Kluyveromyces lactis: one gene and its partners. The protein of the gene in region 1 interacts with the protein of each later gene in a pairwise test. Links are inferred from orthologs where the notes say so. Each region holds a gene or a part of one and is shown in the gene's direction. Other genes may lie near its edges.

What was found. The genes of interacting proteins can lie anywhere in the genome.
Region 2: the proteins of DHH1 (region 1) and LSM7 interact in binary tests that used the Saccharomyces cerevisiae proteins (3 or more experiments, as listed by UniProt). The link is inferred for Kluyveromyces lactis from reciprocal best matches to the Saccharomyces cerevisiae genes DHH1 and LSM7.
Region 3: the proteins of DHH1 (region 1) and POP2 interact in binary tests that used the Saccharomyces cerevisiae proteins (3 or more experiments, as listed by UniProt). The link is inferred for Kluyveromyces lactis from reciprocal best matches to the Saccharomyces cerevisiae genes DHH1 and POP2.
Region 4: the proteins of DHH1 (region 1) and LSM4 interact in binary tests that used the Saccharomyces cerevisiae proteins (3 or more experiments, as listed by UniProt). The link is inferred for Kluyveromyces lactis from reciprocal best matches to the Saccharomyces cerevisiae genes DHH1 and LSM4.
Region 5: the proteins of DHH1 (region 1) and LSM2 interact in binary tests that used the Saccharomyces cerevisiae proteins (3 or more experiments, as listed by UniProt). The link is inferred for Kluyveromyces lactis from reciprocal best matches to the Saccharomyces cerevisiae genes DHH1 and LSM2.

What each region holds. Positions count from the first base shown.
Region 1 is NC_006039.1:1,450,832-1,456,736, forward strand, and holds DHH1 (DExD/H-box ATP-dependent RNA helicase DHH1), read left to right. Parts: upstream 1-2,823; coding exon 2,824-4,368; downstream 4,369-5,905. Other genes in the region: DMO2 (Dmo2p), read left to right, coding at 1-165; mitogen-activated protein kinase kinase STE7, read right to left, coding at 350-1,864; PNP1 (purine-nucleoside phosphorylase), read left to right, coding at 5,572-5,905. UniProt on the Saccharomyces cerevisiae protein: ATP-dependent RNA helicase involved in mRNA turnover, and more specifically in mRNA decapping by activating the decapping enzyme DCP1.
Region 2 is NC_006041.1:2,036,587-2,040,808, forward strand, and holds LSM7 (Sm-like protein LSM7), read left to right. Parts: upstream 1-1,694; coding exon 1,695-1,706; intron 1,707-1,836; coding exon 1,837-2,157; downstream 2,158-4,222. Other genes in the region: ALF1 (Alf1p), read right to left, coding at 741-1,493; FUR1 (uracil phosphoribosyltransferase), read left to right, coding at 2,697-3,350; ARP1 (actin-related protein 1), read right to left, coding at 3,693-4,222. UniProt on the Saccharomyces cerevisiae protein: Component of LSm protein complexes, which are involved in RNA processing and may function in a chaperone-like manner. Component of the cytoplasmic LSM1-LSM7 complex which is involved in mRNA degradation by activating the decapping step.
Region 3 is NC_006039.1:1,667,582-1,672,865, reverse strand, and holds POP2 (CCR4-NOT core DEDD family RNase subunit POP2), read left to right. Parts: upstream 1-1,875; coding exon 1,876-3,219; downstream 3,220-5,284. Other genes in the region: putative GTPase NOG2, read left to right, coding at 1-206, 687-1,421; BRE5 (Bre5p), read left to right, coding at 4,071-5,284. UniProt on the Saccharomyces cerevisiae protein: Acts as a probably catalytic component of the CCR4-NOT core complex, which in the nucleus seems to be a general transcription factor, and in the cytoplasm the major mRNA deadenylase involved in mRNA turnover.
Region 4 is NC_006041.1:1,854,707-1,859,003, forward strand, and holds LSM4 (U6 snRNA complex subunit LSM4), read left to right. Parts: upstream 1-1,680; coding exon 1,681-2,232; downstream 2,233-4,297. Other genes in the region: SBF complex DNA-binding subunit SWI4, read right to left, coding at 1-617; TMN3 (Tmn3p), read right to left, coding at 2,720-4,297. UniProt on the Saccharomyces cerevisiae protein: Component of LSm protein complexes, which are involved in RNA processing and may function in a chaperone-like manner. Component of the cytoplasmic LSM1-LSM7 complex which is involved in mRNA degradation by activating the decapping step.
Region 5 is NC_006042.1:854,144-858,408, forward strand, and holds LSM2 (Sm-like protein LSM2), read left to right. Parts: upstream 1-1,912; coding exon 1,913-2,200; downstream 2,201-4,265. Other genes in the region: GDI1 (Gdi1p), read left to right, coding at 171-1,508; KLLA0_F09229g (uncharacterized protein), read right to left, coding at 2,324-2,713; KLLA0_F09251g (PITH domain-containing protein), read right to left, coding at 3,011-3,778. UniProt on the Saccharomyces cerevisiae protein: Component of LSm protein complexes, which are involved in RNA processing and may function in a chaperone-like manner. Component of the cytoplasmic LSM1-LSM7 complex which is involved in mRNA degradation by activating the decapping step.

The sequences.
Region 1 (5,905 bases):
GCTGAAAAGAAGAAAGGTGTAACCGTTGAACAGTTCGCAAAACTGAATCCAAAATGGTGGGTATCTTCAGCAAGATTATTCGGTGGAGCCTTGATTGCCTTCGGAATATATAGAGGAACGGAAGGATGGTTATGGAATAAAGAGAAAAAGTATAAGGTTTGGTAATAGTTTTTCGATTTAGTGACATTAGTGAATATTTCCGATTCTATATGAAAGTCCTAAATAAGTTGTATATAAATTCTTTATGCTACTGATCCATAGTCCGTTCCTGTAATAATGATCGTTATTGAGATGAGATGCAAACTAGGACATCAATTTATCCTAATATAGTGCAATTTCTTAATTTATTTCATCGCCTTGTACTCGAAGACCTTGCGGCTGTAACAGCCAACGCTGCTTTCTCTAATTGTCTTTTTTCGATCTTACTTCTCTCTGTCTCTTCTCTTCTTATCATCTTATCCTCTTTGATCCGCTTCTTCACTTTTTTGCACCAATGCCTGAATTCTTTTGCAATAGTGTCTCTGTTGTTATACTTACAGATGAAATCATGACATATCAATTCTTTCAAAGATGATCGTCCTCTCTCCTCCTTAATGCAACACCTGTTCACGAAATCTGTCATTTCTATGGAGTAATGTTCATTTTTTGACAGTTTTGGAGCAGGTTCATTGACAATTCTCTGTAAAAGATCAAGAATCCCTTCTGGTGTGTCGTGATGTCCACCTAGTGGGAACTCACCACTACTGAGCTCGATGATCATAAGACCTAATGACCACACATCACCTTTAGTAGTATATCTGCCACCTTGGATACGTTCAGGTGACATGTAAGTGGAGGTTCCGACAAAGGTATCCGCAAGAGAGTTAATTAGAGTAGTAGAGACACCAAAATCGCAGATCTTTACGTCTCCCTTCGAGTTTATCAATATATTGGACGGTTTGATGTCCCTGTGAATGATTTTATAGCAGTCATAAAGATAGATAAGTCCATTTAAAACACAAAAGGAGATCCTTGAGAGAGGCATTTCGTTGAACCACGATGTCTTGCACGATATAGAAACGTTTTTCCTATGGCAATCAGATCTGTAAACTGACAAAATCTTATCTAACGAGCCACAATCCATATATTCCATAAGAATCACTATTTCGTTAGTGGTGGATGGATTGTAAAATGCACCGTAGAAACCAACAATGTTATCATGGGCTGAAACATTTTTCATGATGGTTAGTTCTCTAACAAGTTGATTTTTCAGCACTTCCTTATTCTCTACTGGTATAGTTTTCTTAGCTATGATTCTAGAATCAGGTACATGCAAAGTCTTCACCACAGTACCCGAATTTCCCGCTCCAATCTTGCTCAATCGTACAAGGTTTTCGAGTTGAATTCCGTTCTCTGGGGTTAAAGAAAGTCGAGCAATCTGAGTAGTCAATGTGGCCGTTTCATCTGTCTCCTGTTGCATCATACTGACTCCTGTAGGAGTAAGTGACATTGGAGCATCTCTTGTGGTTGGTGTAGTCCCGCTGACAATGGAAGATATATCTGATGTACTAGAACTCCCTTGAAGGAATGAAACCGTCTGGAATGAAGTGTCTCTGCTAATTGGACTTATTTCCTCACGGACCGGAAGCTTCTCCAACATCAAACTGAGTGTTGGACCATTTCCATTACTAAAACCTTTCGGTATTTCGTCAGGAGAGGAAGATGATGATGAACATGATGATTCTAGAGTCAAATGCTTCAAATTCTTCCGTTTCAAAGTCTTCGGTTTGAACAAACTATTGCACGATCCCTCTGCACTATCATTCGACGGTTCATGGTTTATTCGATTCAATAACATCGAGCCGTTTTGGGTACGTGTAATCATATGCTTTTAAGTCAATCTGACCTCAATGTTCACCACTTTCTGCGCCTCTTCTCTTTGGAGATATTAAAGTTTTACGATCAATAATAGATATTAATACCAAAGCCAAACTTACAGGCTCAGATGATTGTAAAATGAGACAAAAATTAAAATGCAACTAGAAACCCTAATAGAAAGACCCCACCAGGTTCCAAAAAACAACACACGTTGGCTCTTTGCAACACTCCTTGCTGCCTCAGTAATCGTCTCTTTCTTCTTCTGAGTTACTGCTTAGCCTTGTATAGGCTTTCTTTATCATTACTTAATTATTACGCTACTTTTTATTTATACGGTGCATGATAAATTAGTGTGGTCCTCAACGGAACCACGAATAGAACAAGAAAATGAAAGGAAGTCACTTCTGCTATTGAACGTAATGGGAATGCCTAGTTGCCTCGAGCATTCTCATTTCAACGTACGCTCATATGCGCTGATACATCTATATATATTTTTGTCTAGGCATTCCCATTATTCGCACTGCATCGTACCTTATCGCTACAAGTGATAGAGAAGCCTCACGGTGCTGAGCTTAGCCCTTGGCATATTTGTTACCCGGACATGTCTTCACTTTTCTTATCACGTGACAATTCGGATTTTGTGAAAAGGGTGATATCCGTTACCCGCACTTGTAATTGCTTCAGTAGGGTAACATTGCTCTTCCCTCCACTCTGGAAAGAAGAAAAAATTATGAAGTTTAGAATTAATTTGAACAATTATTACAGAGGCACAAGAGGAAATAAAAGTATAACATGTGTATTATGGTCATAGGTATAGTATTTATACATTCTACTCTGTGATATTAGCAACAGCATAGTTTCCGGATATACACTAATTGACTAATTTTATTAATTGACTAATTCATTGAAGCTTTATTTAAGAAGGTTTAACTTTATCTGCAAAGAATATTAAAGATAATTGATAATATGGGCAGCGATACAAGCGAAAGTAATAACGACTGGAAGACCCAGTTGAATATTCCTAAAAAGGATACGAGGCCTCAGACTGATGATGTGTTGAACACGAAGGGTCGTTCGTTTGAAGATTTCTATTTGAAAAGAGAACTTTTGATGGGTATATTTGAAGCAGGGTTTGAGAAGCCTTCCCCAATCCAAGAAGAAGCTATTCCCGTTGCCATTGCCGGGAAGGATATATTAGCGCGTGCCAAGAACGGTACTGGTAAGACGGCAGCGTTCGTTATACCAACTTTGGAAAAAGTGAAGCCCAAGTTGAACAAAATTCAAGCATTGATTATGGTTCCTACAAGAGAGTTGGCTTTGCAAACATCACAAGTGGTGCGCACGCTAGGGAAACACTGTGGTATCTCTTGTATGGTTACCACTGGTGGTACGAATTTGAGAGATGACATCATGAGATTAAATGAACCTGTACACATTTTGGTGGGTACGCCCGGTAGAGTGCTAGATTTGGCATCAAGAAGAGTGACAGATTTGAGCGAATGTCATTTGTTCATTATGGATGAAGCGGATAAGATGTTAAGTCGTGACTTTAAAGTGTTGGCGGAACAAATACTTGGGTTCTTACCAGAACGTCGTCAACTGCTTTTGTTCAGTGCGACTTTCCCAGTCACCGTGAAAGAGTTCATGGTGAAGCATTTGAAAAACCCTCATGAGATTAATTTGATGGATGAATTGACACTAAAGGGTATATCACAATTTTATGCATTCGTGGAAGAAAAACAAAAACTTCATTGCTTGAACACTTTGTTCAGTAAATTGCAAATCAACCAAGCAATTATCTTTTGTAATTCTACTAACCGTGTCGAACTTTTGGCTAAAAAAATTACTGAATTAGGATTTTCTTGTTACTACTCACATGCTAGAATGAAACAATCCGAAAGAAACAAAGTCTTCCATGAATTCCGCCAAGGTAAAGTTCGTACGTTGGTTTGTTCCGATTTGTTAACTCGTGGTATCGATATTCAAGCCGTTAATGTGGTCATTAACTTCGATTTCCCAAAGACTGCCGAAACTTATTTGCATCGTATTGGTAGATCTGGTAGGTTCGGTCACTTGGGTTTGGCTATCAACTTGATTAACTGGAACGATAGATTCAACTTGTACAAGATCGAGCAAGAATTAAACACCGAAATTGCTCCTATCCCATCTCAAATTGATAAATCCTTGTACGTTGCGGAAGATAGTTCCGCAGTCCCAATCCCATTCCCTTTGGAATCCCTGCCAATCACTGCAAATGCTCCCCAACAACCTGCAAATGCTGAACCGTTGCCTCCTCAACAAACTCAAGTGCAATTCCATGCTCCTCCTCAGCAGCAACAGCAACAACAACAGCAACAACAACAACAACAATATCAACAATTCCCAAACCAACAACAACAGCAATATGGTCAGCCTCTAATGCCGCAAAACTACCAACAACAGGCTTATCCACCTCAACCTTTCCCATCAAAAGGCTTCCCACAACAACAATACACTCAAGCTCCTCAATAATGAATTAAGCATTGTTTTAATGCTTGCTTCTAACGGAGCAGTTTTTTTTTTTATCTTAATTTCCCACTTTTACTACTCAAAACCCAAGTCGATCCTATGAGTTGAAATTCAGGTCCAATTTCAGTTCTTGTCATTATTTTGTATTTGTTAAAAAATTAGGCTTTGTCCACATACCACGCATATTGTACCTCTAGACGCTATTGAATATTTTCAAATACTCGACAATCCTTGCGCGTTTCAAAAATCTCACTAATGTTGATTGTACATTAACCAAAATTGACTATAACTAAATGTATCATAATCAATGCACTTTTTCAGCACACTTTATTTGGTTGCTCTATAGGGTCTTATTCTTTTTGCCCTGAATTAATATGAATCGTGGGTTTCAATACTAACCATCTCTACGAATTCCACTAAAGGTTCCTGGACTTTGTTCCCCACCTTTGCTTGTATGCCCAGGTTTGGAATACGAATGCCTTCATTTTTTCTTTTTCAGGCGCTATCGCCTGTAAATTTAATCAATCAGCTTCTTCCTCCATTCATTCCAATCGCCTGTCCTACTACGATAATTTCAAAAGAATCAGTATTACTAAACTGGCCGGTCTTAACCGTGATGGCTCAATCATACAATATAGCCAATCAATCTACTCAATCTACTTATCCTCTCTTTTTTTTTTCTCCGTCTTATATTACTATATCGACCAGCACAACTTATTATGCTAGTATATGGTTGCCTGTTGAATCACTTAAGCTATGTCCCTGGATAGTACGGCTGTCAATACCATGGGGGTGAGAACTCCAAACATATGCTCAAGTGAAATCTGTGGGAATCACCATGTGCTGCAAATGACGTGCAGTAAGGTTCTAATTTATGTACCCACAATGTATATAAATGCATTTTAATTGTACACAGACTGATTCAGTTGAGTTGCAGTTCTGCGGAGTTGTGACAGACGCAATCAGATTGAAAACAACGCCAATTTATGGCAGTATCGGTCTTATCGTCAAATAACACTTTTTCTCTTATCAGATTTCTGGAGCACCTTTCCCATTCATCATCTTCTTTCATTCTATCATCTCTCTGCATTTTAAACTTTAAAGCTTATCAAATGATTTTTAAGATAAAAAGGTAGACCAAAATAATAATACCAAACAAACCCAATCGGGACTAAATAAGATCCCAGTAAGACTCACCGAACCAACATGTCCTCACTTGACATCAATGAGCAACGTGCTCTTATAAAGTCTGCTCACAGATACATCTCAGAGAAACTCGAGGATCACTTCTCATCCGAGTTTTTACCAAAGGCTCTTGTGATTTGTGGATCTGGTTTAAGTGGAATCTCAACCAAGATCGCTGATGAACCAAAGCCATTGATTCTGTCTTATTCGACCATTCCTGGCTTCAAAGTCAGCACCGTACCTGGACATAGTGGTGAGTTGATCTTTGGCTACATGAACGGTGCGCCTGTCGTCTTAATGAATGGCCGTTTGCATTCTTATGAGGGCCATTCCTTAGCAGAAACAGTGCATCCTA
Region 2 (4,222 bases), on another chromosome or scaffold:
GCCAAAAAAAGATGCTCCTCAGACACAAGGTAATCGGTATTGTGTTATCTGCGTAAGTTGCAGACTCCCTGCATTGCACTCAACTAGGCATTGTCGTAAATGACAAGCTAAACTGTCCGTCCGTTGTCCCTCCCATGTCACGTGGTCTCCATTAGAGAAGAACTGGCGACTTGATTTATTATAACAACGACAATAGGGCTCAAGCTGAAGTTCCATTAGAAACAACCTTCTCACGAAGCGAAAATCCCGTTAGGGATTTGCTTGATTATAACTCACCGGGGGTTTGAACCCTCGGCGAGCGGACAGCTGCGTTCCACCGAATTTCCCACCTGGAATGAGGAGAACAACTCCTCTGATCAAGTAGAACATTCAAATCACATGACCTCTTCTCAAAACACTTCAAAGTAACGAGCATCCACCTTATACTTAAGAGTGAATATTCTTTGAAGCGCTTCAAGGGCTTAGTATGAAGTTGAGAACAGGAAATGAATTGCCATATTTGATCTTTTTGTAACCAGGTTCATATGAACAGAGACTTTGTGTTCTGAGGAAGATTCGAACCGAAGTCGCAACGTGGCCTTTTTACCAGCTACGGCACAACACCCGACTCAAACCAATTACGAATTCATTCAGTAGTAGACCCTGTCACGTGTGTGTCAGGTGTCATTTCCGTAGTTCAGAGTATCATCCACGAGGCCAAGGACGAGAATATAATTAAACTTATGTAAATTATCAACTCCCTATAACTCATCATCTGTGAGCATCAATTCATCGTCAGCTAATGGCGTGAATTGAGGACCTACTTCAACAACGGCAGGTCTCACAAACCCGCCGTAATTCTTTTTTACTGGTCCGAAATACTTCGTTCCTTGGAATGTACCATTGTTCTTACCGTCAGGTTCGTCAAATTCAATTCCACACCATACATCTGTATTACTGATCTCTTGAACTTTTCCCACGTATCGTAACCATCCTCTTCTTTCGGGGACCTTGGTGGAATCGGTCGTTGTTTCCTCGTTGGACAGTACTCTGCATCTTTCTCCAACGTGTTTTTGTAATAGTTCTGCCTTATCGATATTCAGTTGTAGTTGTTCTTCCATCTTAGAGCGGTATTCAGGATTAAATTTCCCTAACTTGTTATCTTTTTTCCATTGTAATACAGAATCCCTTCTGTTCTCATAATCGTCCATGGTGTATCGGAACGAAACGTCATCGCTATTAGCATGTAGCAAATCATTTTTCAATTGGCTTGCTAAACTGTTTTCGTTGGTGTCTATCACTTTTATGGACTGGATTTTCTCTACTTTCTGGTCTTTGAGATCTTTCAAATACTTGCTGTTCTGTGCATTGCCATTTATCACCAATTTCATGTCTTGAACATCAACACCGGTCAATTCGTTCAATCTTTGGCCCAGATGGTCCCATGATGTACCAGGTTTCACAAAGATCTGAGTGTTAACCAAATCGGATATAATTTCCACGTCAGATGACATTATCGGTGCTGATATATCCTCTGTTTTATTTTGTCTTCGATGCTGTAAGTTCAATGTTTGTCGTTTTGTCCAGGCATGTTTGAACATCGAATTTTTCAATGTTCCGTAAACTTAAATGAAAAGTTAATTTGAAACCAGTAACACACTTTGACAATAACCCATTGAGCAAACAGCGCTACCCCACCCAACCAACTACTAATAATGAGCGAAGCAGTATGTTAACTACTATAATTAGGACGGCTTTCTAAAACTTCTTCAACTTTCTCAAAACAATGATCCATTCTACATTTTAAGTTCAAATTTACTAACAGTTAGAGAGTTTATACATTCCCCTTCTCTGCAGAGGCAATCACAACAACCGAGACAAGAGCAGAAGAAGAAGTTCGAAGGCCCAAAGCGTGAGTCTATCATAAATCTTGCACAATATAAGGACACAGAAGTACGTGTCAAGTTCATAGGGGGAAGACTGGTCACTGGAATCCTAAAGGGTTATGACGAGCTAATGAACTTGGTTCTTGACGAAACCGTCGAATATGCAAGAGACCCAGAAGATGAAACCATCATCCACAAGGACCAAGCCAAAAAAATTGGTTTGGTCGTCATAAGAGGAACAGCTCTACTTTCGCTATGTTCCCTCGAAGGTGCTGAGATCATCAATACCTAGTTAAGACCCAAAAAAAAAAAATTTCAAGCAACAGTGTACCATATATGTTCATTAATAGTGCTATATAACGTTCAGTGCTATATCAAACTCACACTATGAGCCCATATCCACATTTCTACCTGTATCTAATGAAATAAGTATCTCCAACGGAGATACTTTCCTAACCGGCTACATCTCACTTATCAAGACCTAATCTGCACAAATGTGCGTTCACGTGACTTATTGAATCTTTTTTCTAACATCAGCAAAGCTTTTTGGTTAAATTTCGACCAAAAAACCGTATCTCATCGCATCGACTGATTAGAGAGATATCTTGAATTCTTTAAACCGACTGCGTCCAGGTGTTCATTTATATATATGTGAGTATATATCTCTTGTGAGAGTTGTTCTTTTAACGTTTCAAATTCTCTTTTCGCTTGTTGCTGCAAATCTGTTTGAATAATATTTTCTGTAGTATTCTTACTCTTTACTGAAGACCAATCAATTAGCGCATCAAAGCGAACTTCACTTAGGTTTATCTGCTGCTAAAAGAAAATAATATGAGTTCTACACAACCATTTCCTAATGTCCATCTATTGGCACAATCGAAGCAGTTGCTTGGCTTGTACACTATCATCAGAGATAGCCTTACTAAGAGATCTGATTTCATATTTTACTCTGATAGAATCATCAGGTTGTTGGTCGAAGAAGGTTTGAACCATTTGCCAGTAACTCCAAAGACTATTACCACTGACACAAACCAGAAATTCGAAGGTTGTTCCTTCCTAGGTAAGATTTGCGGTGTTTCTATTGTAAGAGCAGGTGAATCCATGGAACAAGGTTTGAGAGACTGTTGCAGATCGGTTCGTATTGGTAAGATTTTGATTCAAAGAGATGAGGAAACTGCTATGCCAAAGTTGTTTTATGAAAAACTACCTGAAGATATCGCTGATAGATACGTTTTCTTGTTGGATCCGATGTTAGCTACTGGTGGTTCTGCTATCATGGCTACCGAAGTGTTGATTCAAAGAGGTGTGTTGCCAGAAAGAATCTTCTTCTTGAACTTAATCTGTTCCAAGGAAGGTATCGATAACTACCATGCTAAATTCCCAAATGTCAGAATCGTTACCGGTGCTATAGATGCAGGTTTGGACGAAAACAAATATTTAATGCCAGGTTTGGGTGATTTCGGTGACAGATACTACTGCATCTAAGCAAACTCTATAGAATTTCACGACCTGACAACTTGCACAATCGCCGTCTTGTCCATTCATTTACGCTAATGTCCCTCGCTTATCGTTGTTGACCATTATTGTTTACGTACTTGCTTAGAAAAGTAAATTGTTAAAACTCAATGCAATCATAACTCAAAAACAGCAATTATAATACTTATGTTCTCGCATCTTTTTTCACTTTAAATAATCTCTTCGTTAATGTACTCTCAGTTTTATGGCATTTACACCTTTCCTCTTTGCATTGAAAGCGTTTAAAATAGTTATGATAGATTATATATCCTTGTTGTCTCGTTTGTTGACTTGTTTTACCGTGAATGTTTTTCATAGGAATCTGGCGTGTACGCATCTTGGATTTTCTTCCCACTCCTTTTTTGTCACCCATATCTTTTTGAACGTTGATAATCCAGAGAGTATCGATCCTCCAATCCATGTGCTATATTTTCTTTCTGGTGGTGCGAATATCTTGATTTTTGTCTGCGGTTCGCAACTTAACTTCAACTCCTTTAGAACTCTATCACCAAAACCTGGTATCATTGTAGTACCACCGCTGAATACTATATTAGAAAATAGTGATGTTCGTAAATCTAGATCTACTTTTTGTATACTTTCGTATAGTATTTCTGGCAAGCTTTGGAATTCTGAACCGATTAACTGAGGATTGAATAAAATCTCTGGCGCTCTGAATTTCTCATTATCAAGTTCAATCTGTTTCCCATCTGGCAGTCTGAACATTGTTTGTTTTCCGTGCATTGTGTAGTTTTTCTCTTCTTCTTTCGGATCCAATGCTATATAGCACGCTTTCTCTTTGATGATTCGAACGATCTCTCTTTCGCTACTCGAAAGCAAGGAAA
Region 3 (5,284 bases), about 220 kb from region 1:
TTTTCCACAAAGGTCAGTCGAAACGTATTTGGAACGAATTGTACAAGGTTATCGATTCCTCCGATGTCGTCATCCACGTATTGGATGCTAGAGATCCTTTGGGGACTCGTTGTAAATCGGTGACTGATTACATGACCAATGAGACTCCTCATAAACATTTGATATACGTCTTGAACAAGTGTGATCTTGTTCCTACATGGGTTGCCGTATGTTTTAAACTTTCTTTTTAATCTTCAGTGATTACTACTAACCGATTATACTTTCTAACTGGGAGTGAATACCACAGTATCTTGAGAATACCAAAATTCTTTGTCAGGGTGTTTCTGCGTACATTCTAGTACAACTTACACATACAGAAGGGCCTGTTACAGTTTTGGAAGAGCAATACTACCCACCCTCGATCTATCCATCGTTTTGATGGAGTCATGGTTGAAACCTAGTTGAACAATCTTCGTTTTGAGGATATATCAGCGCTTTTATTTCGGGTACGGAGGAACTTAAGAGTTGAGCTTTGGATCTGAAAAGAATTATTATGCCATGGCTCGTAGTAAAGAACCTCACATCACCACTAATATACTCAATACAGCATGGAGTCAACCCCCAGTAGAAAGCATAATTGGTTATTGATTCACATATGTGATTACAATTTTACTAACACGATTTTCCCTATTTTTGATTCTCAACAGGCAGCATGGGTAAAACATCTATCGAAGGAACGTCCCACATTGGCATTCCATGCCTCTATTACCAATTCATTTGGTAAGGGTTCGTTAATTCAACTTCTACGTCAATTCTCACAACTGCATAAGGACAGACATCAAATCTCTGTTGGGTTCATTGGATATCCAAACACCGGTAAATCCTCAATCATCAACACTCTAAGGAAAAAGAAGGTCTGTCAAGTGGCACCTATTCCTGGTGAAACTAAGGTGTGGCAATACATAACTTTGATGAAGAGAATCTTTTTAATCGATTGTCCCGGTATTGTACCGCCATCCAGCAAGGACAGTGAAGAGGATATTCTATTCAGAGGTGTGGTAAGAGTTGAACACGTTTCGCATCCTGAACAATACATTCCAGGTATTCTAAAACGTTGTAAGAGACAACATTTGGAAAGAACCTATGAGATCTCCGGATGGAAAGACTCTGTAGATTTCATCGAAATGATTGCAAGAAAGCAAGGTAGACTATTGAAAGGTGGTGAACCAGATGAAAGCGGGGTATCGAAACAAATCTTGAACGATTTCAACAGAGGTAAGATCCCATGGTTCGTACCACCACCAGAGAAGGACAAGATTGAGGAAAAGGAACCTGGTGATAAGAAACGTCCTGCAGAGGAAAATCAAGAAGATCAAGAAGAGGAAGAGAAGGAGCAAGAGGAACAAGAAGAACCTGTTTCTAAAAAGGCCAAAAAGGAATAAACCAAACACTTCCTCAATATTTAATTCTCTCCAGACACGGGCATCGCTTTATATATAGACACACCATATACAATCTTATCGGATCTATCGTTTTTGTACATTAATATCAATCGGATGACTTAGGCTAAGTCTTGCACATAGAAATTTATTAAATAAATAGTAGAAAGGCTGGATAACACCGAACGTTGTGAAGCATGCAGATCAGGGGCAGAAACACTGGACAATGGACCCATTCGGGTCCACTGTCCATTGAGAAGTGGTGCCAGTGGTAATATCAACACCGTACACAATGACATTTCCCTCGAAAATTCTGTTTCTGCCAAAGAGGAACGAAACAGGAAAGCCTTTAGCATTAGATAAGGAAGAGACAGAGACATATATGGTTGGAATACGATTCAATTCTGATTTAAGAGTTGTCATTTAGGACTACTCCAGTAAGTACGATAGAATTTTAATGCAATCTCTTAATAGTCAGCTCGGAGGATTGCCAAATTCGGAGCAATTTTTCGGGAAGGGCGCTGTTCAGCAGCAAGGGCCAGTTGGGATGAACGGGATGCTTTTCTCCCCTTCTATGAATAGTACTCGTATGATGCCTCAACAGTCGCAACAACCACATGTGCTGCATGGGCTTGAGAACAATGGGGGTCTTCAAAATTCGTACTTGTTGAAACAGAAGATGGATGTGGTAAACAGTGCTTTTGGGCAGCAAAACAACTTACAGCAGCAGCAGCAACCGGGAAAAATGCCGTTGCCGAATAATGGGCAAGTTCCTATGATGATGCAGAACAGCATTTCCGGTGGTAACTCTAATAACAATACGATTCCACAGCAGATGCAATTTCCAATGCCGGTACAACAACAGGCAATGGGAAACGTGAACGGGCTTGATACAACACCATTACCTAATGCATCTCATACGCCAATCTCGTCTCCAGCGCATCTTTTGATCAGAGAAGTGTGGCAAAACAACGTAAACTTCGAGTTTGCCATAATCCGTAAAATGATCGAGCAATACAAAGTTATTTCTATAAGCACCGAGTTTGTCGGTACGATAGCGAGACCCATTGGGAATTTCCGCTCAAAGACAGATTACCATTACCAGACGATGAGATCCAACGTGGATCTACTAACCCCAATCCAGATTGGACTTTCGTTAAGCGATTTACAGGGGAATAAACCAGACAACTTCCCATCCACATGGCAATTCAACTTCCATTTCGACGTAACAAAGGAGACCGTGAATTCGGAATCGTTAGAACTATTAAAGAAATCCGGTGTCATCTTGGAGAGACATCAACAGAACGGTGTTGATTTCGACGAGTTTGCTCAGTTGATGATGGATTCCGGGTTATTGTTGAACGATGAGGTCACGTGGATCAGTTACCATGCAGCATACGATTACGGGTTCTTAATCAACAGGCTCATGAACACAAACATGCCCAACAACAAAGAGGACTTCGAATGGTGGGTTCAGAAATACATACCAACGTCGTACGATTTGAACCTAATTAACAAGTTAGTTCATGAGGTAACGCAACAACACCCACATCCACCACCATTACATCTATTACAAAGTCAACAGCAACAGCAACAAAACCAACAACAGCAATATACACTAGAACTACTGGCTGACGAGTTGGGGATTCCGATCTTCCCATTGTTCAGCAGCGCAGCGGGACAAAGTCTCTTGGCACTATTGGCATACACCCAACTCGGTAAATTGTCTTTGTACAAACTACGCAATGGAACAGATTTCAGTTACTACAAGAACCTGATCTACGGAATCACACAGGAGTAATATATGTGATTTTTATGTGCCAGCCTTTCATATAGAGTATCATCAATAATGCATTTATGTATGTGAATATATATATATACATACACAATCATTCTTAAAATAGGGTATAAAAGGTGGCTGACTAGCCACCGTCACTGAACTGAACTGATGCTGACCAGTGCGAAACCCACAGGTTGCAAGAGCGCAACCTGTGTACTTCATTCACCTGGCATCTCGTGAGGCATGATTTCATAAGATGATTGACGAGTTTTCCATTAAAAAATTTTGAAAATTGACTCTTTACATATAATCACTAGATGCAAACATGCACATACTTTGCTTGTGAGGGGCGTTTCTTGTTGTTAGGGTGTCTATTTGGTTCGCTTATCGGTTTTCATGCATTCATTAGAAACCAGACTTTAATCTTTAGCGATAAGTTTGAAGCGTGAGGCACATATACGGTGTTCGTAGTGCTGAAATTTCCCGTGAGTCTGGAAAAAAGCACCCATAGGAAATTAATACTTTTTTGTTATTGTATTCTAGTATACCCTATACTTTCCTGCTTGAATATCCACCGTTAATACACTTGGATTAAAACGTTGTTAGAGCGTTATTAGAGCGTGCTTTTCCCTTCTTTTTTTTTTTTTTGTTTGACAGTTTTATTTTTAATTCATTCAAAGGTCTTTCTGATTGACAACGATTGACTGTATTGCATTCATTTCATACACTTTAGCATTCCAATTTGATTTTTTGATACCCGCGATCGGTTTGAAATTGAGAGTTATCAAAGAATAGTTGAATTCTTTTACAAGAACCAGTGTGTTTTTTCCTGTTTAGATTAATTTGATACAATCACATTTGGTTTGGAAAATATGACCACTTACGATGTGAAAGAGATCGGATATGCGTTCCTAAGGACGTACTATGAACGTATGCATAATGATCCATCGAAATTGTCGTGTTTATATTCTACCACGGCGGAATTGACCCATGTGAATTATAATGAACCTATCAAGCATGACAAAGATTATTTAAACACCGTCAAGTTGATTGGTAAGGATAACATCAACAATTTCTTTACCAGAAACAGCAAGCGTGTACAGGATTTGAAGGTCAAGATTGATTCGTGTGATGTGCAATCTACTGGGTACGAGAGTTCTTCGATTCTGATATTGATATTAGGGGAGCTATGCTGGACGGATTCACCATCTTACAGATTTTGTCAGTGCTTTATCCTGGAACCAGCAGAGTATAACAGTAAAGTCTACGATTTGAAAAACGATATCATTCGTTTCATTCCTGACCTTGCTCCATTAGTGAACCCAGACCAGCCAGTATCACCACCATCTGCTGTTGTTGTTGAAGCTGAGAATGAGAAGCCAAATGTCAACGGGGACGCAGCTCCTGTTTCTGTTCCTGTATCTGTTTCTCCAGTAGTGGTAAAGGCAGCAGCGAAACCGGTTGAGATTGTCAAGCCAATTCCAACTGAGAAGCAACAGCCCTCTACTGCTCCAACGGAAACAAAAGTGGAACAACCCCAAGCCGTTTCAGTAAATAAAACTAAACCTAAGGAAAATGAGGCGATTGCGCCAGCTACTGCTCCTGCTGCTATTGCAGAAAAAGAAAAAGAAGACAAGGAAGACGAAGCACAAGCACAACCAAAAGAGCAAGCGACTTCAGCATCAGCCACCCCAACCTCAACGACAACCCGTTCTGAATCGGTGCCCCCACAAGAGGTTCCTGAAACAGAAGTCACCCCAAAGGCTGAACCAGTGAAAATGACTTGGGCAGGCAAACTCAACAAGACATCTAAACTAACTACAAACTACATCAAGGTAGATCTTCCACAAAAGAAGTCTAAAAGTCCACCTCCAAACGGATTCACCAAGTCAAACAAGAAAAGCAAGCAGCAATCGAAACCAATAGGCGACGTTATCATCCAAAACAGCAGCGGTTTCTACCCAGTATACGTGGGTAACACAAATGGGTTGACCGCATCCGAACTTGAAAGAGCTCTAATAAAAGAATACGGTGATGTCGTAAAAACCTCATTCCAAGATTCGTTCGCTGTGGTTGATTTCAGAGA
Region 4 (4,297 bases), on another chromosome or scaffold:
GGAGGCATATCATTTGGATCAGGAATAAATTCTACAATCCTTTTGACAACCTTATTGTTAATATTGTATTTTTCCACCAGATATTTAGTCGATTCCCAGGGTATCCAGGTCCCCTGGAATCGTCCATAACCACCCTGAATCTTTTCATGTTTAATTTCATTGGCCTCTTTCTCCAAGATCTTGGTTCTCTGAGCCTTTGTAAACGAACCGGCTTTGAAAACTTGCGTTATGTTCAACCAATTATCGTTGCATCTTCTCATGATAAGGCATGGAGGTTTATCTTTGGTATAACATTCATATACATCAACGCCCGCGTATGTAGCAACTTCAATGAAAGTTTCCGATTCGCTGTCATAACCACTTGTCTCCGCCATAGTAGGTTCCTCACTGATTTTCTTTAAACTCCCATCGATCTGCCTTTCATCGATCATCGAAGAGGATGCTCCCGTGGATGAAGAAGAATTATTGGTAGCACCACTATTAGCTCCTAATAAATTAGAATTGAACGGTTTCAAAAGTGTATCATTCTCAGAATGATGATGAGTGCCCATGTGCATTTGAAGGATAGATTCCTTGTCAAAAACGTTGCCGCTATGATGCGACAAGTGTTGTTCCATAATTACACGAAAGAAATAAATGCACACGAAATCCTAATTGTTTTAGACAAAACAAAGCAAAGAAAAGCACGCCAGAGTCAACAAAGCGTTTCGAGTCGAGTGTCACCTTCTGCTGCTGCTTCTGCTTCTGCTCCTGGCAATGTGATCTCAAGCTCGCTCACTTTGTAAAATTCAACGTAAAATATACCACGCAGTTACGGTTATTCTAGCTTTTCCACCAGTGCCCAAAAATGTATCCAGATATCGGAGTAGCAGACCAAATCAATCTCAACTGGAATGCTCTGATATTTAGCTAAGTTCACGTAGCCTACAGACACTGTTAATAACAAAGGTATACACAAATCATAAATGACATTGTAAAGTGCGTGAGAAAGTCTGCTTTCAAAAGATTATAATCTTTATTTTAAACTGTGATCAAATCTCTTTACCCAATTGGGAAAAGAAAGATTAGATGCCTCACCAAAAAAAAAATCTCAGATCTCACATTTCAAACCTCACTCCAGTGTGTTCCCATATTCAAAGCTGAGGCAACCTTTCAAAACGCCTAGAAGGGTCCGTATGACACGAAGGAGTAGGGGGGCAGAAACAGTCTTAAAAGTGAAAAAATAAGAGAAAAATCAATAATCAGATTATATTCACGTGTCAGTATTACCCGGGACACTCACGTGATTCGAAACTTTTAAGTGTTACCCGGTAAATGAATTTTATGAAATGTCGAGAATGCTTTTTCCAGCTCAATGAAATTTGGAAAAACTGAAGTTATATTGTAATTGGAATTTAAATATTGTCAATGCAATTGTATGCATTTGGTTCGTCCTACTAGGGAGTGTTACATAACTCAAACTACAGATACGCAGATAAGCAACAAAGTCTAATTCATACTTTTTTCCCTCACATTTTTCCTTCTCCAGACAGACAGAGTCCTAATTTTTTGGTATATTGTATATTGTTCCGGCCCCACCCTTTCCTACGATTAAGTTACTACGGTTTGAGATACCTAAAGAAATACGACAGCACGGGCACACTATAATTGGTAAAACAGATCAATAAGTTATAACATAAAATGCTTCCATTATATTTATTGACCAATGCAAAGGGTCAAACAATGCATGTTGAACTAAAAAATGGAGAAACTGTGGAAGGTACGCTATCTGATGTAGACAATTGGATGAACTTGACACTTTCCAATGTCACTCATGTAGCTAGTGGAGAGACTTTGAAATTACCAAGCTTCTATTTGAAAGGTTCTTTCATCAAGTATGTTAATTTGCAAGATGATATCATAGACAAGGTAAAACAACAATGGGGTCAAAACAGAGGCGGTAAAGACGATAGAAGAAGAAATAACAACTACAATAATAACAATAATTATTATCAGAATAGGGATGGTAACAGAAGAGGTGGTAGAAGAAACTATCAAAACTCAGGTAACAGAAGGGATTACAACAACAACAATAATAATAATAATAATAATAATAACAATACTCACAGCCATAACAATGCAGGATCTCGTCGTTATAATATTCAAAATAGATCACAATACGATGCATCATCCAATCCACAGCTTTCGTATTCGCAGGCGTCAAACAATAGTAATCAAACTCCACAATTTTGATTTAACCTCTTTTCTCAGCATTTAATTCTTAAGTATTTGTGTGTCTACATGGTTACATATTCAATCACTTTTATTGCGGTTAAAGAGACTATTTTGTTGGCTTGGACGGTCAAAAGTCTATAAAAACATCTGTTTCGATTGCATTCGATGCGATATCCTAAACCTTTTTCTCGTTACTCCTTTCACACTTTTGAGATTTAAAACTGAATTTGGGTTATGAAATTAAAAGAACTACCTATTAATTATGATTCAGAGTTAGTGAACCTTAAGTTCAAAGCAGTATATCAGTGCTTTATATATTAAGAGTATGTGAGCATGGGTACCGTGGAAAAGATCAAATGTTGTTATTTTTTAAATTACTCTATACAAAAATGCTTGGTTTAGAAAGTCCATGCTAGATATGCAGTATTATATAGGAGAAATATGAGACTCCTGAAGAGAGCCGGACTTTTTTTTTTTGGCCTCACTTTAAATATAAGAGGCGAACTTATTTAGCCTTGTTATATTCATTCAGCTTACCGATGAACCACAATGAGCTTAGGTAACTTAAAGATCCAAATGCTGTCCAGCAGAGAATGTTGAATAACGTACTATAACAGACAAATAGGAAAGATGAGATGAAATCTCTGTATCTGGCAACAAAAATCAAATACAAAATAGAGTACGCTTCCATATACCATGCAACTGCACCACCCATATGAAATGCCTTCCATCTCCATGAATGACATGCTTCTAGAACCCTTCCTATAACGTTGTCCCATTTGAAATTCAAAGAATCATTACCATAGTTTAGATGAATGTAACAACCAATAATGGATAGAAGGCAGATACATATGCAAACGATAACAATATTACTCAAAAGGAATCCGTATAAGTAATACAGAGTAGTCTTTTGTAGCCAAAGTGATTTGTAAGCAAATAACAACTCCACGTATATTAGAGCAAATGGAATAAGTCCAAAGGTGAGAGTGATCGCAATAGGATTTTTTAAGACGAACGGAATAGAGTTCTTACTCTCAACGTACAAAGGCCTAGTGTCATGTTTGTTCACTTCTGCCAATGCAAAGCTATTAAGCAAAGTATTTGTGGAGTTAACTTTTAAAAACCTATCGGCACATTTCCCACCAATGATTGATATTGGAACGCAAACAATGAAATAAGCACCAAATAGTAATGCAACGGTACCATGGGGTAAAGTATTTGCAGCATTATTGGCCTTAAGTATGTAATTCAATAACAAAACGATAACCAAAGTAATTCCCGGTAGAGTTGATCCGAATATGATTGAATTGACCAATTTATGTTGAGACATTTGCCCCTCAAGTAGAGCACCGATGAAAGATGATGTAAAACTACCACTGATAAATAGGAATACTGCGCAGGTGAGTACAGAGCTGCCAATACGATGGGTATGATTCAATGAACAAGAAATAATCAAAGTTCCAAGAGTGGTGAAAAGGAAATGAATACCCATAGAAACGAGCAAATTCAACTGAAAGAATAAAGGAACTCTAGCCTTCGACCATTCCGCAGCTAGTTGAGTGGTAATCGAACCATCAGTTTCCTGTCTTTTCAAAATGGCTATGACGATCAAAAGCAAACATGAAGTGACAATTATACCATTAGCGAAAGTAATCCAATGGAATTGATTTGAAGTCGATTCCTTTAACTCTCCACCATTAATGAAGAAATTCCATCTGTTTTTCCAATCCACTTTGAAATCTTCTCTCCAATACACGGCATAAGTGAAGGAGATAAACTCAATATCCTCATTAGTTGGGTCGATCTTATAGGGAGTATAATCCTTGGAGGCGCCAGGACAGTGATGATCTGAAACGGATTTCGGATAGACCTCAAACCCAACAATGGTATTTTTGCCCTGATCGATGGTATGATAACGAATTACAATCATGACATGGTTATTAATATAGGCCTCATCAGTTTCTGGATCGTATTGACCCAGTGGGAACCCCGATGAATAGTATTTTTTCTTATCTTTGGTGTTAAGATACGTGGTAGCACCTGGTAAATCATCATCGGCCAACCATTGGACGACGTAATTCTG
Region 5 (4,265 bases), on another chromosome or scaffold:
GTGTTGAAAATAAAGAAAGTGCGATTGTTACAATAAAAATAACAATAATAGGGAGGATCATAGTATTTAGCAAGAAAACAATAACGACTTCAAACGTAGGGCTACCTTCAACTAGATAGGAAACGTTGGACCTAGTTCATAGAACGTCGAATTGACAAAAGCTTGTAATAATGGACGAAAATTATGATGTTATCGTCCTTGGGACAGGTCTTACCGAGTGTATATTATCTGGCTTACTCTCAATCGAGGGGAAAAAAGTCTTACATGTTGACAGACAGGACCATTATGGTGGTGAATCATCCAGTGTCACATTAACGCAACTATACTCTAAATTCAAACAACATCCTTTGAGTAAGGAAGACATTGAGTCAAAGTTTGGCAAGGATAGAGATTGGAACGTGGATTTGATTCCTAAGTTCTTGATGGCGAATGGTGAATTGACTAACATTTTGGTTCATACTGACGTCACCAGATATATCGAGTTCAAGCAAGTTGCTGGCTCGTACGTTTACAACAGAGGTAAAGTATATAAAGTTCCTGCTAACGAAATGGAGGCTATTTCATCTTCTTTATTGGGTATCTTCGAGAAAAGAAGGATGAAGAAGTTCTTGGAATGGATCAGTGCATACAATGAAGAAGATATCGCCACACATCAGGGCTTAAACTTGGATCAAAACACTATGGATGAGGTATACTACAAATTTGGCTTAGGAAATTCAACCAGAGAATTTATTGGACACGCAATGGCCCTTTGGACCAATGACGATTATCTGCAACAACCTGCTAGACCATCAGTGGAAAGAATTATCCTATATGTGCAATCGATTTCCAGGTTTGGTAAATCTCCATATATTTACCCTATGTATGGGTTGGGCGAATTGCCTCAAGGATTTGCTAGATTATCAGCTATTTACGGTGGGACATACATGCTAAATACCCCAATTGAAAAGGTTTTATACTCAGACGATGGTAAATTCGAAGGTATTGTCACCAAAGAAGGTACTGCAAAAGCACCAATAGTCATCGCAGATCCAACATACTTCCCTGAGAAATGTAAAACTACAGGTGAAAAGGTGATCAGAGCAATTTGCATCACTAAACAACCTGTTCCTAACACTAGTAATGCTGATTCTTGCCAAATAATTATACCACAATCACAAGTTGGAAGAAAGAACGACATTTATATTGCTACTGTCTCTGACGCCCATAAAGTTACTTCGAAGGGTCATTACCTCGCCAGTGTATCAACCATCATTGAAACTGATAAACCTCATATCGAATTAGAGCCGGCTTTCAAAATGTTGGGCCCAATTGAGGAGAGGTTCATGGGTATTTCAGAAATCTTTGAACCGATCGAAGATGGCACTAAAGACAACATTTACATCTCTAAATCTTACGATTCCTCATCTCACTTCGAATCCATGACCGACGATGTCAAGGATATCTACTTTAGGATTACTGGTCACCCCCTTGTTTTAAAGAAGAGAGAAGATGTTGCAGAGGAGTAAGTGAGAACTACGAGATAACCGTGATGCTAACTTTTGAAAATATCGTACCTTCACGTACTTCTACGTACTTTTACGTTACTTTCTTGTTTCGTTACAATCTTTATCATTATCATTTTATTTTTGTCTATTTACTATCTAGCCCCACATATTAGCTTGAATGTTTTGGCAATAGTTTTATTTCAGCAATCGACGTAAAAATATCCCAGCTAGTCCTCTTAAGTCCAGCAGCTTCTCTACTTCTACATATGAAGTTGTGTATGTCAATTTTGTACATGTATCTTTTTTTTTTCCTTCAACATGAAATTGTTTAAAACAATTTCATGTTGAAATTTGACAATACAACTACAACACATTCAAAAGTCAAATGCATGGACCTCTGAACCAAGGCCGTACTGTCCAGAACCATGCTATTATTTTCATTTTTCAAGACCCTGGTTGATCATGAAGTCAAAGTCGAACTAAAGAACGGTATTGAACTAACAGGTACTCTAAAATCAGTCGACCAATTTTTGAACTTAAAATTAGACAACATTTCGTCCAACAATAATGAAAAATATCCACATCTATCAAGCGTGAGGAACATGTTCATCAGAGGTTCTACTGTGAGGTATGTACATTTGAAGAAATCTATGGTGGATACCAACCTACTTCAAGATGCAACCAGAAGAGAATTAATGAGTGAAAGAAAGTAAACGAAAGAAGCAGCGAAAAACAGGGTTCCTGCTGCAGAAAGGAATAATTTATAACTGTTAAATATCATTCGAGTCTACCACTCTCACACTATTCACATATGTAATAATAGAACACATTACCTATCATGGTGGAACTCCCAAGAGTTTCTTCTCACATTTTGATCGGAGGTGTCCAGTTTCATTGCAATAAGAACATTTAATGTTGTTAGCTTTAGACTTTCGTTTTCCAAATTTGGCTTGTTTAGGAGTTCTTTGTACTGGAATTAGAGCATATTCTTGACCGTCTTTCTGAATAATCTCAATTTGTTTCGAAATCATTTTTGAGAACTTCTCTTTATCCAGTTCAACGGATGTAATCATCGAGATGAGCTCATCAACGTTCTTCAGTTTGTTCTCGTATTCCTCTTTTAAAGACGGGAGAGTCGACTGCTTTTTTTGGGACTGAGATAACACTAGTTTGGCTAGTTGATCAAGCGCCTCAGACTGTTTAATAATCTTGTCTGCATCCGCCATGATAGAGCTTGTGGTCACTGGGGTTATCCGATACCACACTTCCTACTCTGGTGGTCCTGAATTTGATCCTATCTCTCTATCGTTCTTTTTTCACTTAGATTCCATAGTGAAAGTGAAAATAAAAAACGACATCGGACAGGGACGGATGTGACCCCGTGAGAAGAGGTGGAGTCGCATTTCCTTACGACTATATGCTCATTTCAACATACGAGATATACATATATACCATGCAACTATTTTTAGGTTGATTTGTCTTACTATCACAAACTTTTCTTTGTTCTTGAACAGAACTGCCCTTTACGAGGCGTAATTAATAGTTTGCGATTCCAATTTCACATCAGCAGGGTTCGGAGCCGCCTCATACACTGCAACAATTGGAACTCCTGAATTTCTTAGTTTCCCTGTCGCTTCACCTCTTAACTCACAGAAATATAATCTATTAAGGTCATCCTCATCACCCGACCAGTTATCCTTCACTAAGACAGTCAAGTTCTCACAATTCTGGAAGATATTCCTTGGCAAGTCAAACTTGATAAATGTGTCATCATCAAATAATGATTCATTATTATAATCTGGTTCAATACCGACGTTGTCTGGAAACTCGACGGTGTACTCCGCCTTCAGATCGTTTATGGTATCAAAGTCCAAATTCTTATTGTAGTTCTTATACAACTGAATGTGTCTTGGTGTACTATACCCTGATCCACCCTTGTTAACTCGTAATATAATTGCAAATATTTTAACAGATGCAGTAAAGGGAATCTGAAGTAACACTTGACAGTCTGCGTCTGACTCTAAGTAAAGGGAAGTATTATACTTCTCATCTTGCGGCTTCAAAAAGCTTTTTGAAACCAAACTTGACCTATCATTGCTAACTCCATTCAGGACTTGTACTTTTGTCATGTCAATATGTGTATATAGGGACTGGTTAGAGAACGTTTCTGCAGGTGGTTCATGAGAATGTCCATGATCGTGGTTATGACCATGTCCGTGATCATCGCCATGACTGTGACCGTGGTCATGGTTATGAGAATGCAACTCGTCTTCACAACTGAAGCCTGACATTGTGGTTATATAGACAGATAACTTTTGCTCTTGTTATTCTATTCTGGCCATTACATTCACTTTTTAAACCATCCTATCTCATCTCATCAAATCACATGAAATTCTTACTATTAAATACCTTAATCTGTAAATGAGAGTTACAGGAGAAATAAGGGTATAGACATAAAAGCTAAACTGAGATACGTATAATTAGAAACAAAAACACTCAATGTTACCTGATCCTTTTTTAGAATACCCCCGTAAGCATTTCGTGTTCTGATACCCGTCGGTCTGGCATCTATCGTTAAGTACTTCGGCAGATCCATAATATGAATAAATTCATTATCCAATACAACAAAAAATAACTAACACAATTCAAAAGTTCTATAGTTTGAAGAACCAAACCACCAGCAACCTAAATAAAATAAAGACGGCAGCCTGTGTGCAAGTGCATTTTTGAATACCTAAACTGTATTTACTCATAAAGAACCAACTTAAAACATGCCAA